2 linked regions of the Caenorhabditis elegans genome follow. The protein of the gene in region 2 interacts with the protein of the main gene of each other region in a pairwise test. Each region holds a gene or a part of one and is shown on either strand. Other genes may lie near its edges.

What was found.
Region 1: the proteins of let-23 (region 2) and lin-7 interact in a two-hybrid assay, tested with the Caenorhabditis elegans proteins (3 studies listed by BioGRID).

What each region holds. Positions count from the first base shown.
Region 1 is NC_003280.10:14,345,107-14,350,580, forward strand, and holds lin-7 (Protein lin-7 homolog), read right to left. Parts: upstream 3,687-5,474; coding exon 3,486-3,686; intron 2,968-3,485; coding exon 2,810-2,967; intron 2,751-2,809; coding exon 2,675-2,750; intron 2,251-2,674; coding exon 2,056-2,250; 3' UTR 738-2,055; downstream 1-737. Other genes in the region: Y54G11A.9 (Core domain-containing protein), read right to left, coding at 40-192, 506-619; Y54G11A.17 (L51_S25_CI-B8 domain-containing protein), read right to left, coding at 3,880-4,089, 4,136-4,300; elof-1 (Transcription elongation factor 1 homolog), read left to right, coding at 5,071-5,186, 5,236-5,374.
Region 2 is NC_003280.10:9,195,409-9,200,622, reverse strand, and holds the start of let-23 (receptor protein-tyrosine kinase), read right to left. Parts: upstream 3,112-5,214; 5' UTR 3,106-3,111; coding exon 2,976-3,105; intron 2,640-2,975; coding exon 2,619-2,639; intron 2,367-2,618; exon of another isoform or gene 2,278-2,366; coding exon of another isoform or gene 2,163-2,277; intron 1,683-2,162; coding exon 1,615-1,682; intron 1,435-1,614; coding exon 1,276-1,434; intron 1,191-1,275; coding exon 1,037-1,190; intron 987-1,036; coding exon 768-986; intron 606-767; coding exon 339-605; intron 272-338; coding exon 155-271; intron 68-154; coding exon 1-67. UniProt on the Caenorhabditis elegans protein: Tyrosine-protein kinase receptor which, upon binding ligand lin-3, activates 2 signaling cascades: the let-60/Ras and MAP kinase signaling pathway and the let-60-independent phospholipase C-mediated Ca(2+) signaling pathway.

The sequences.
Region 1 (5,474 bases), 5.1 Mb from region 2:
TTTTTCTCATCAATTTTAACATTTTTTACACGTTTTCACCTCATCCACCACAATTTCAGCTCCATTCTCTGATGATTTCCATAATAAATCGTCGTTGTTAATTTTTTTGTCCAATCGAATTTTATACTCAAATCCCGAGCATCCACCTCCATCCACCTCAAGTCGTAGGCGTTCTCCGTTATCAACGACTTCCTTGAAGAATTAATTTTTTAAATTAAGGTTTTTTTCTAGTCATTGAAAAAAATTGAATTTTCGAACAATATTCACAAAATTTTTTAACTTTCTTTTTTGAAAATCGGGGTTTCTCTGAAAAGCACTACAAATCAAAAGTATACAATTTTTTTGTAAAAAAAACACCGGAAATTAAATGCTTTGAAAAACTTTGAAAAATAGGAAAGTGCCGATTTTTTTCCGAAAAAAAAAACTGGAAAATCGAAATTTCTCGTTTTTCCATTTACAATATTTCTAATTTTCAAAAAAATTGGGCGCCCAAGGACAGACTAACTTTAAGCCTGCTCGCTGCCTTATTCGTCACTTTAATCTCTTGCTCGGTGAGCATCCGATGAGCCTGTCGGGTTACTGTACAAGCCATTAGTCTGCCGATTTTTTGTGTGAGCATTTCGAGAAAATTCTGAAAAAAAAATCTGAAAAAAGTTGAATTTTACATCAAAAAGATAGATTTTCGTGATTTTTGAAACATGGAAAATATTTTTTTAAAAATGCCGAAAAATGAAAAAAAATTATTTTAAAAATTTAGTTATTAAAGATACATGGAGAAAAGCACCTATTTGAAAGAACGTAAGGCAAAGCAAGATTATTAAAGCAATTTTTGGGCAATAATTTGGGGAGAGGGTGAGTGTTGAGATTAACATTGTTTTGGAAATTTGTCTGAAAACGGAAAAAGAGATAATAATGTACATATAGGGATATCTAAAAATCTAGAACAAAGAATAGAAGAGAAGAAGTTAGAAATGAGTATACATGAACTGGAAAAAAATAGAAAAAATAGGGATTTTATGGTGGAAAATGCAAACTTTTCAGCGAAAATTTCAGTTTCAAGAAAAGATCTTTCAATATTGCTACAAAAGTTCTATTTTCTCGGCTAAACTAATCAATGTTTGCAGAAAAATGCGAACTCTTGCAGTAAAACATTGAGGCCACACGAAAAGGGGAGCAGAACGAAAAGGGGATCTGCAAAAAGGGGATCTGCGAAAAGGGGAGATACGAAAAGGGGAGCAACGAAAAGGGGATCTGGCACTGTGCCAAGCGCTATTTTTCTCGAAGAAAACGATACAACGATGCTCCGATGTTACGCGTCGCGTGTTGTTAAGCGTATCTTCTAGAAGAAAATTTCAAAAATCAACGTGCGTTGCGTGAGAAAAATTGCGTTTTGTGCGTTTGGCACAGTGCCAGCTCCCCTTTTCGTTGCTCCCCTTTTCGTATCTCCCCTTTTCGCAGATCCCCTTTTTGCAGATCCCCTTTTTGCAGATCCCCTTTTCGTTTTGCTCCCCTTTTCGTGGGGCCTCAAAACATTTTGATGCAAAAATTTTAGAAATATTGTTTTAATGTCCATTATCTATATTACGGGAGCACATGAATGCGTATTGCACAACATAATTGACGCGCAAAATATCTCGAAGAGAAAACCACAGTAATTTTATAAAGTACTACTGTAGCGCTGGTGTCGATTTACGGACATCATTTGAAAACATAAAAAAGACAACAAAAAAAAAAACGAAAAACCAATTCGAACACAAATTTGTATAAAAAATAAAAATATATTTTTTTGTTTGTTTTTTTGTTGTCTTTTTTTTGTGTTTTCTTTCGATATTTCATCGATTAATAAATGATGTCCGTAAATCGAAACAAGCGCTACAGTAATATTTTAAAGAGTTACTGTAGTTTTCGCTACGAGATATTTTGCGCGTCAATTATGTTGCGCAGTACGCATTCTCGAAATTTAGTGTTCCCGTAACATTTAGTTTTGTTGTGGCTTTTTTCGTATTTTTTCCAAAAATTCTCGAATTCTTGATTTCTACAAATGTTCCGTCTTTTTTATCTTCGTGGATTTGTCGAAGAAGACGGCGTCGGGAGTGTTGGACTCTGCTGAGTGGATCGAATTCTCTGTCTTTCGAATCTCCGCTCCATTTCATCCAGGAGTTTCGGCATATAACGGATCACTAGCTTTACACTTCCGACTGCGGATTTCAGAAGATCAACTGCTTTTTCGTGGCATTCGGCTTCCACGTTCTGAAATTTTTTTAAAGTTATTTTTTTGAATCAAAGTTTTTTTTCTAATTCGAGTTATATTCTTCTACTAATTAAAAGTGTAGTTGTTTTCAATTTTAAAAAATGAGAATAAATTGTTCATTTTTTCGAAAAAAAATATTAAGAAAAATTTATAATGTTCTTTTATATGGAAATCTTCGTAAACCGAAAAATTCTGTCTTTTATTACTGGTTCCTTTACTTTTTTCCGGTTTATTTTCTGAAAAACACTAAAAATCTGAAATCTTCGATAAAAAAACACTTAAATTAAAGTAAGTTTCGTTTTTTGCTTAAAAAAATGAATTTTTAGATTTTTTTTTCATTGAAAAACATTGAAAAATCAATATTTTTCGATGTTTTTTTTCCGAAAAAAACTAAAAAAAAATTGAATTAAACATTTAACCCACCACTCCGTTGACCGCAATAAGTTGATCGCCTCGTTTGAGACCTCCGTGTCTGTCGGCTACGCCACCAGGGATTATTCTGCAATTCAAATCGTTTTTTTTAAATTATAAAATCATTAAATATTTTTATATCTGCACCTGGAGATGTAAATCGGTGAATTTTGCTCCTTGCCGCCCATAACATTGAATCCAAGCCCTTGATCGGTTTTTGGGAGCTCAACGATACGTGGATGCGCGTGGCCTTCGGCTGCAGCAAACGCCGCCACTGTTGCTTTAGCTGTTGCGGCGGCTTTTATCTGAAAAATGTTTAGTGTTTTTTTTTGTTTTCTGTTGTTCAAAAACGGCTCAAAATTATTTCGAAAAATAAAAAAACTACAATTTGAAATTTCGACAACTTTTAATTATCAAGGTTGGCGGCAATTGTCGCTCGGCTTTTTTTTTGCCAAATTCGGCAAATTGCCGATTTGCCATAATTTGCATTTCCGGCAATTTGCCGATTTGCCGAAAATTTTGATTTTCGCCGAACTACCGATTTTCCGGAATTTTTTGTAGGGATTTTCATTATACGGAAACACTTAAAACTGTGCCTTTTTGAATTTTTTAAAATTTAAATTTTGAAAATTCCAAAAAAAATGTGCAAAACCACAATTTGCAGATATGGCGGAAGTATTAATTCGGACAGTTTGCCAATTTGCCGGAATTATCAATTCCGACAATAAGCCGATTTTCCAGGAATTTGAATTCCGGCAATATGCCGATTTGCCGGAAATTTCAATTCCGGCATTTTTGTCAGTTTTATCAAAAAAAACTGAACCTCTGGCGTTGTATCCGCATCAATTGATTCATAAACAGTCTCATAGACCTCTCGGACGGCACCGAAAAATTCGGATTGTAGCACCTGCTGCAGCGATGCCAATTTTGCATTATTGACCTCTCCAGTCTTCTGAACGTGCTCCATGAGCTCTAGAATACGCTGAACGTCCCGCTCCAAATTCGGACCATCCGGGTTATCCATCTGGAAGATTTGGTTGGAAAGGAGGGGAAAAATAGGACGGAAATAGGTAAAAATGGCAAGAAAACCAATTAAAAATTACAAAATTAAGCTATCCAGAGCGGAAAAACATTATTTACTATTCTAATTGACCATAGCCCGTCAGAAAATTATTAAACACAACAAAACCAAAAAAAAAATCGACAAAAAATTAAATTTAAATTTCATGTCGCAGCGTGTGCTTCTGAGACAATTCCAGCGGAATCACATTGAACGTCATTTTGTACAAATCCACGTCTTTCCTATACTCGTATCCCTTCATCTCCTCAATTTCATAGTCCGGATCGCATTTTTCCTGGGAGATACGAACGATTCCGTCGCAATGGGCACGCAGAAGACGTTCTCCGCGATCGTTTTCATAGTAAACCTGAATAACTTCTCAATAATCAAAGATATTTGATAATAAATCTTACATTTAACCCTGGATGATAATTCATTTTGAATTGATTCACCAGCAAATCGTCTTTTCGCACAACTTCTCCGTCTTTCCGGAAAATTCCACGGAACGGGAGATTCTTTGGTGGTCGTAGAAGTCCGCGAATTTGTTGAAAACTACCGGTGAATCCCTTGAGGCCCATCTGAATATTTAAATTTGAATTTAGATAATTTTAATTGTTAAATTATAATTTTGAGTTGCATTGCATCACTAGAAAGATATTTTATTGAAAATTAACGTTTTTCAGCATTATTTAATGCTTTTTAACGATTTAAACAATTTTCTCATTTAATTTATTGATAAAATATTGAGAAATGTTTAATTTTAAGCATAAAATGAATAAATCCTGCTCCGGAAAGTCCGATAAATGCTTAATTGTTTTGGAGACTACGGTCAACATTTTTTGTACGCAGTACGCAACGTGTACTGCAGACCGTAGTCGAGAAAACCTGCGCATCTAACTGTCTTCCTCGCGCCAATTTTGTTTCGAAATTTCTTTTTTGGCTGTTTTTCGTGTTACTTTTTGCCGGATTTTTGCCGTTTTTATATGATAGAAATATTATGTTTTGTGTCAAAATAGGTAAATTTTCCATATAAAACCTGATGATTCAAAAAATTTTGTGAATTTGAAGTCCAAAAATGTGGAATTTCAAGCCGACACTCACGAAAAATTTTCACATTGTGCATACGTTATAGTTTTTAGAATACAGAAAAAAACAATATAGTATTTCTGAGTGTCGCATTTTTGAGTGGTTTGTATATTAGTATATTTTCTTGCAATTTAAATGTAATTTTCGAACTTTTTTTTCGAGATTGGAACATATTTTTACCTTCTGCAAAAATATTCTGTTCTTTTTACGTTTCCCGAACTTAATAATTGTTTTTCAGAACCAATCCAAACAATCCGCAGCAATGGGAAAGCGAAAGTCGAAGAGAAAGGCTCCAACCAAGGCAAAGGCTGTAATGCCACTCGACACCCAATTCAACTGTCCGTTTTGCAATCATGAACGCGTTTGTGAAGTGAAAATGTACTTTCTAAGGAAAATCGTTTCAAAAAAAAACGTAATAATTTTCCAGGGATCGCGAAAAGAATGTCGGTTATATCTCGTGTCGTGTCTGCTCTGAAGACTTCCAAACAAACATCAACTACCTCTCCGAGCCAATCGACGTCTATTCTGATTGGGTGGATGCCTGTGAGCAGGCAAATAACGCCTGAATATTCCCCATCCGTCAATCTTAAATTCTTATACGACCTCCTTATAAGCCTCCAAAATCCCCATCGCGTTGATCTCTTTGCTTTTCTCAGTAATTCTATT
Region 2 (5,214 bases):
TCAATTTGTTCGCAGCCTTCCAAGTTTTTAAGTGTCTCGTTTGTCAGATGTCCATCGACCGTGCAAACTAAAAATTTTGTATTTATTGAGCTTTTAGGGATTTTGTAGGAATTAGTGCAGCTTGAAATTGATTTATTTCAAAAAGAAAACGTACTTTTTGGACAGCTGGAACTTCTGCATTTTTCACACTCTCTAACATCTTTTGTAGCATCATAATGGTGACCATCTGAGCAGTGACGAACACATACATCGTTTTCGATTAGAAGTTCAGCTGAAAAAGTATTTCGTGAGTTGTGGATTCTGCTTATTCATCATTTATCTCTATCCAAATAACTTACGAGGGCATTCTTTCACACAATGATTTCCATTTTGGTATCTTCCGTCTGGGTTAAAAACTAATCGTCCTGTTTTGTGATTGAAAATTTTTCGCGATGGGCACGTTTCGATACAGATTCCATCCAATTCATATTTACTGCAGGCAATGCAATTTTTTGGTCCGTGACCTGTACATCCTCCAAGACAAGCCGAGTCACAACATTCGTATGAACTTGTAGAGTTCGAGTAGAAACACTGAGAACAAGATTTTGGACATACGGAACGGTAGACTGAAAATATACTGCATATTGGTGAATTTTATTTACATAATTTCTTTAAAATAATTTTGAAACTTTTGATCGTTCTGTGTCAAAAATTAAATTTTTTCAGAAGTTTGAAAAATTCAGCCACAATGAACAAAAACTTATGTCTAGTCTAATTTTTTTGCTAACCTCGTTGACAATCATTGTCTCCGGATCCCCAACATTTATCATTACAACTTTCATGGCATTTTGCCATTGATTTTCCATTTTGATAGCAATGTTGATGTGAGTTTGTAGTTTCAACTTTCTGTACATCTGGGTCGTACAGTAACTCCTTCCAATCGATTTTATCCCCAATGTAACACATTTTTGGATTGTCTTGAATTGTGACACTTCCATTCCTAATCACTGAAAAATAAAAATAAAATACTATGTCTCTAAAAGCTGAGCAAACAAACCTCTCAACTCTCTCATCACAACTTCGTGAACTTTATCATTTTTATGAATGTACAATGCATTATCGTGAAAAACCTCGTCTCCGTAGATTACTCGTAGTCTTGGAAATGATATTTTTTGAATATTCGCACGATAAATTATTAAGCTTCCTCGAATCTGAAAAATAAAGGTAAAGGAAGATTTAAGCAAAAACGTTTTTGGTAGAAAATACATCTATTGTTGTAGATGTTTTCATACTCACCTCCTCTAAATTATCAAAAAAGTTAATTGATTTCAATGGTGAATCTTCATTTTTTGGGTCCACAGTGCTATTCGTCGATTCTCTCCATTTCTTTATTTCATTTGCTTCTATCCATGTTATTTCAAGATTTCCATAAACACGACGACACCCTCGGTACATCTAAATCAAGACATTTTTCCTTGTTTTGGCAAAAAATTTAGTTTTGCCTGGGGCTATTTGACTATTTGTTTTGGATGGTTACTTCGTCGATCCGGAACTTTTTAAATTTTTTTAAAATAAAATTCTAATCGTATGGTTTAACAGCAGAAATCAAAGATAAATCCCTATTCAACAACTTACAGTTTCCAGATCTTCCAAAATATTTCCGGTTCCATATCTCGATATTCCATTGGTTGTGCCAGAACAAACTGAAAATCAAGAATGAAATTCGTGTAAGTTTTTGTTTGATTCAAAGAGGAAAAATTCACAGAGGGGATGCATATTTTGGTTTCAAAAAATCTAGTTTCTCTAAAAATTAACTAGAATTATTTTAAAAATTTTTCTTATCTCAAAAAAAAAGAAAAAAATGGAGCCTTTCAATTTTCTTGATGATCCGATTACTTGTCCTCTGAATGACATTTTAAATGATAAAGTTCTCACGTGTCTACCGGTTACTGTACTTGTAATGAACTTTTGATAACTTTCTGTAATCGAAATATCATGATTCATGTCAAAATTAATAAAAATTTAAATTTCTACAAAAAGTATTGTATTACTTTAATGAACATTTTTTTAAAGTATATGTCTTGAAACTTTTTAGAAAGAACACATCAAATCGCATATGTATATTCTATGATTTAAAAAAAATCAGTTGCCATTGTTGACAATTTCCCATTTTATCCACTTACGGCAGTCTTGAGGTGAAACACATCTTTTCCACAACTGTGCATTAGAATTTCCAAAAAATGTTAGAAAAATAGGAATAATCAATAAAATTGAACCGATAGAGGGAGGGTATCGCATGCCTCCCAGAAAATTGTAGATAGTGAGAAAACTTGGACAAATTCTTCCTTTTTTTCACTCTTCTATGACCACTTTTCTACCTCTTATACATGTGATACCCAAAAACGGGACAGAGAGTAGTAGACTGAATGTGTGCTCATTTTCATTTCATTTTTGCCTCAATTCTAGCATTTTTCATCTTCTCAAGTGCTTCGAAATGGAATGAGTTGCAAATTTCTATGTATGAATGTGTGGGGGAAAGAGTAATTAATTGGGTTTTTGGATAAATCACGAGGACATCACAAATACCACAAAAACAATGGGAAAAGGAAATTATATTTGGATATAACGGGGTTACTCACCACTAGGATCTGTTAGGTTCCCTTTAAAAAAATGTTTGCAAATTCTGAGACATACTTTCCTGTTCGGAATGCATTTTTAAACATTATATTATTTTAACTTTTAATAAAAATCCAAAAGCTTGTTTTTTACTATGGTGGTCAATTTCATGTGGAATAATTTTCGTATTCACAGAAATCTTTTTGAGAAAAACCAAGATATAGGCGGAGTCATTTATCTATCAAAAAAATGACAAGCCAATAAAATAGGATTCATAACCTCGCTCTAATCGGTTTCAGATCCAATTTTTCACGATTTTCAAATTTTGATCAAATTGAACAAAATAATGGAAAACGTAATAATTCCAAAAGCCAACTCACATTCTCTCACCACAATCTTCCGTTGCCTCCTCCGTACAGTTACTGAACCTTGTGTTGACGTTGGTGATGCCGCATCAATTGTTGTATCAATTAAGATTATTAAAAATAAGAATAAAAAAGGGAACTTCATCTGAAATGAAAATTGGACATCAGTAATGCAGTTTTTGGTCGATATTGTCAAGAGAATTGGGAGAGGTATAGGCAGTAAAGGAGGCGATTTTTGAAACAAAAAAAGGTGATGCGAGCGAGATGGGATTAAAACTCTTCAACAACGACACAGTTCAACCATACATAGAATAACGTACAAAAATGTTTTATTGGTGTTGTGGCGCCACGTTCTTTTTGTGGTCTACGACCTATTCCCCATCGGGGGGCCCAGAGACGAGTTCTCAATATGGACGAGTTGCTGTCAAATTGTGTGAAGATAAATTGGAGGACACAATTTCGGGTACAGCTTCCGACAGTTCGTGTGTTTGGGGTAGTATGCGTTTAATATCCTAGTTTGAATGTATAGCATCTTACTGGCTTAACAAGGATTTTAAGTGGAAATTGAAATTTGAAGCCAAAATTTCTGCAAAAATTTTTTGATTTTTTTTAACGCTGAACGAACTCAATAATTTTTATTGATTGCGCAGTCCTAATTTTATTGTAAAAAAAAGAGCCGTTAAAAAATAGTGTACCTCTTGCTCCGAGAAGTTAGAAAAATGGTTTCTTTTGTGCGTGACGTCTCGAGCTCTCAAGTTCTCTCACTTTTATAATTGAAATCTATGAATCAGAGGAAAGAACAACATACGATCGGCATGGGAAACTTGAGGAGATGCTTTTAAGAAATATCGAAAAGAAAATGGCGGAAATCCGGGAAATTTTTTAATTTAGAATTTAGAAGAGTTCAGATCGATTTTCAGTTGAAAAATTATTGTAGGTTTTTGTAGTTTATATGCTGAAAAGTAAGTAAGATATATGAAACTAAAAGCTTAAAATTTCCGGTTCGTCCGAAGAATTTATTTTTCAAATGAATTTTACACCAAAAAAAATCAAAACCTCAATCACATGCCAAAACGCATTTGACGTCGTACACAAAAATTTGTCAGCAGTATTTCAAATTGTTCATATTTTTCTTTCGGTACAAGGAAAAAAGTGATAGGAGCAAGTGAGCAGGACTGTGTGGGTGGTTGATAAGGAAGAGAAGAAGACGATGGTTGTTGAGCATCTTCTCTGCTTCTCTAATTCTCATTCTTTCTTATTTCTGAGCTCTTTTAGATTGTGAATCATAATAGATTTATAAACGTGGACAATACTCAATGGACCTCCCGACAAATAGAACTTGAATATGAATAGGTTGATGGGAAAAGGCTGGGCGGCGTATTTCTATGTGCAAATGGTTATCAAATGCTTGCTTGGCGTTTTGCTTTTAGAAAACCGTTTTAAATCTAAAAAATTACATCGGGATCTTCATTGATGTTTTTAAAAACAATAGATAATGTCTCCACAATTTTTGCATTAAAAATGTTCATTGAAAACTTTAACATAAATATCTTAAAGTAAAAAGTGGATACATTCAAATTTTAGGCAAAATTCGGAGATCTATTAATTGAAACAAAAAAAACCTCTCAAAACTAATAAATCAATCTTGCAACAACACTGAAGAATGAGGGTTCTTGATTCATTTTCATTCCCTTTGAAGTCATACCGCCATCGGTTGGCAGCTAGTGGGGAAGAACACGGGCGGTCCTAATTACCATATGGTTGAACACCTAGATGCGCCTAAGAAATATGAACGAAGAGGAGATCAACATGTGGAAAATGATTGGATTTTGATTGTGTGGCTTGGCTCAGAGTCACTTTGTCTATTTCTTCGTAAAGAAAAGAGCAGAAAATTTGTTATTGAAAGTATAGGTGAGGGAGGATTGGAAAATGATGAGGGAGGGGAAGAGATTCCAGGTGTCAAGTGGGTTTATGAAGATTTATGAGAAAAAACTGAGGGCAAGGAGGAGAAGAAAAGGTATTTAGAGGTCAAGGAAGTATTAGAGACTATAAACATATATCATTTGTTCGAGGTTGCATTTTTGGATTACAGTAACCTGACCGGAAAAGGTATTGATGACTGGACCAGTGGACCATTTTGAAGCCTGTAAAATACTTCGACCTGAAAATATTTCAGTGCAGTTTCACTACTTCGGGGACCGTAAAATGTGAATTTAGGTACATTATGTAACAATTTCGGATAGAATTTGAAACT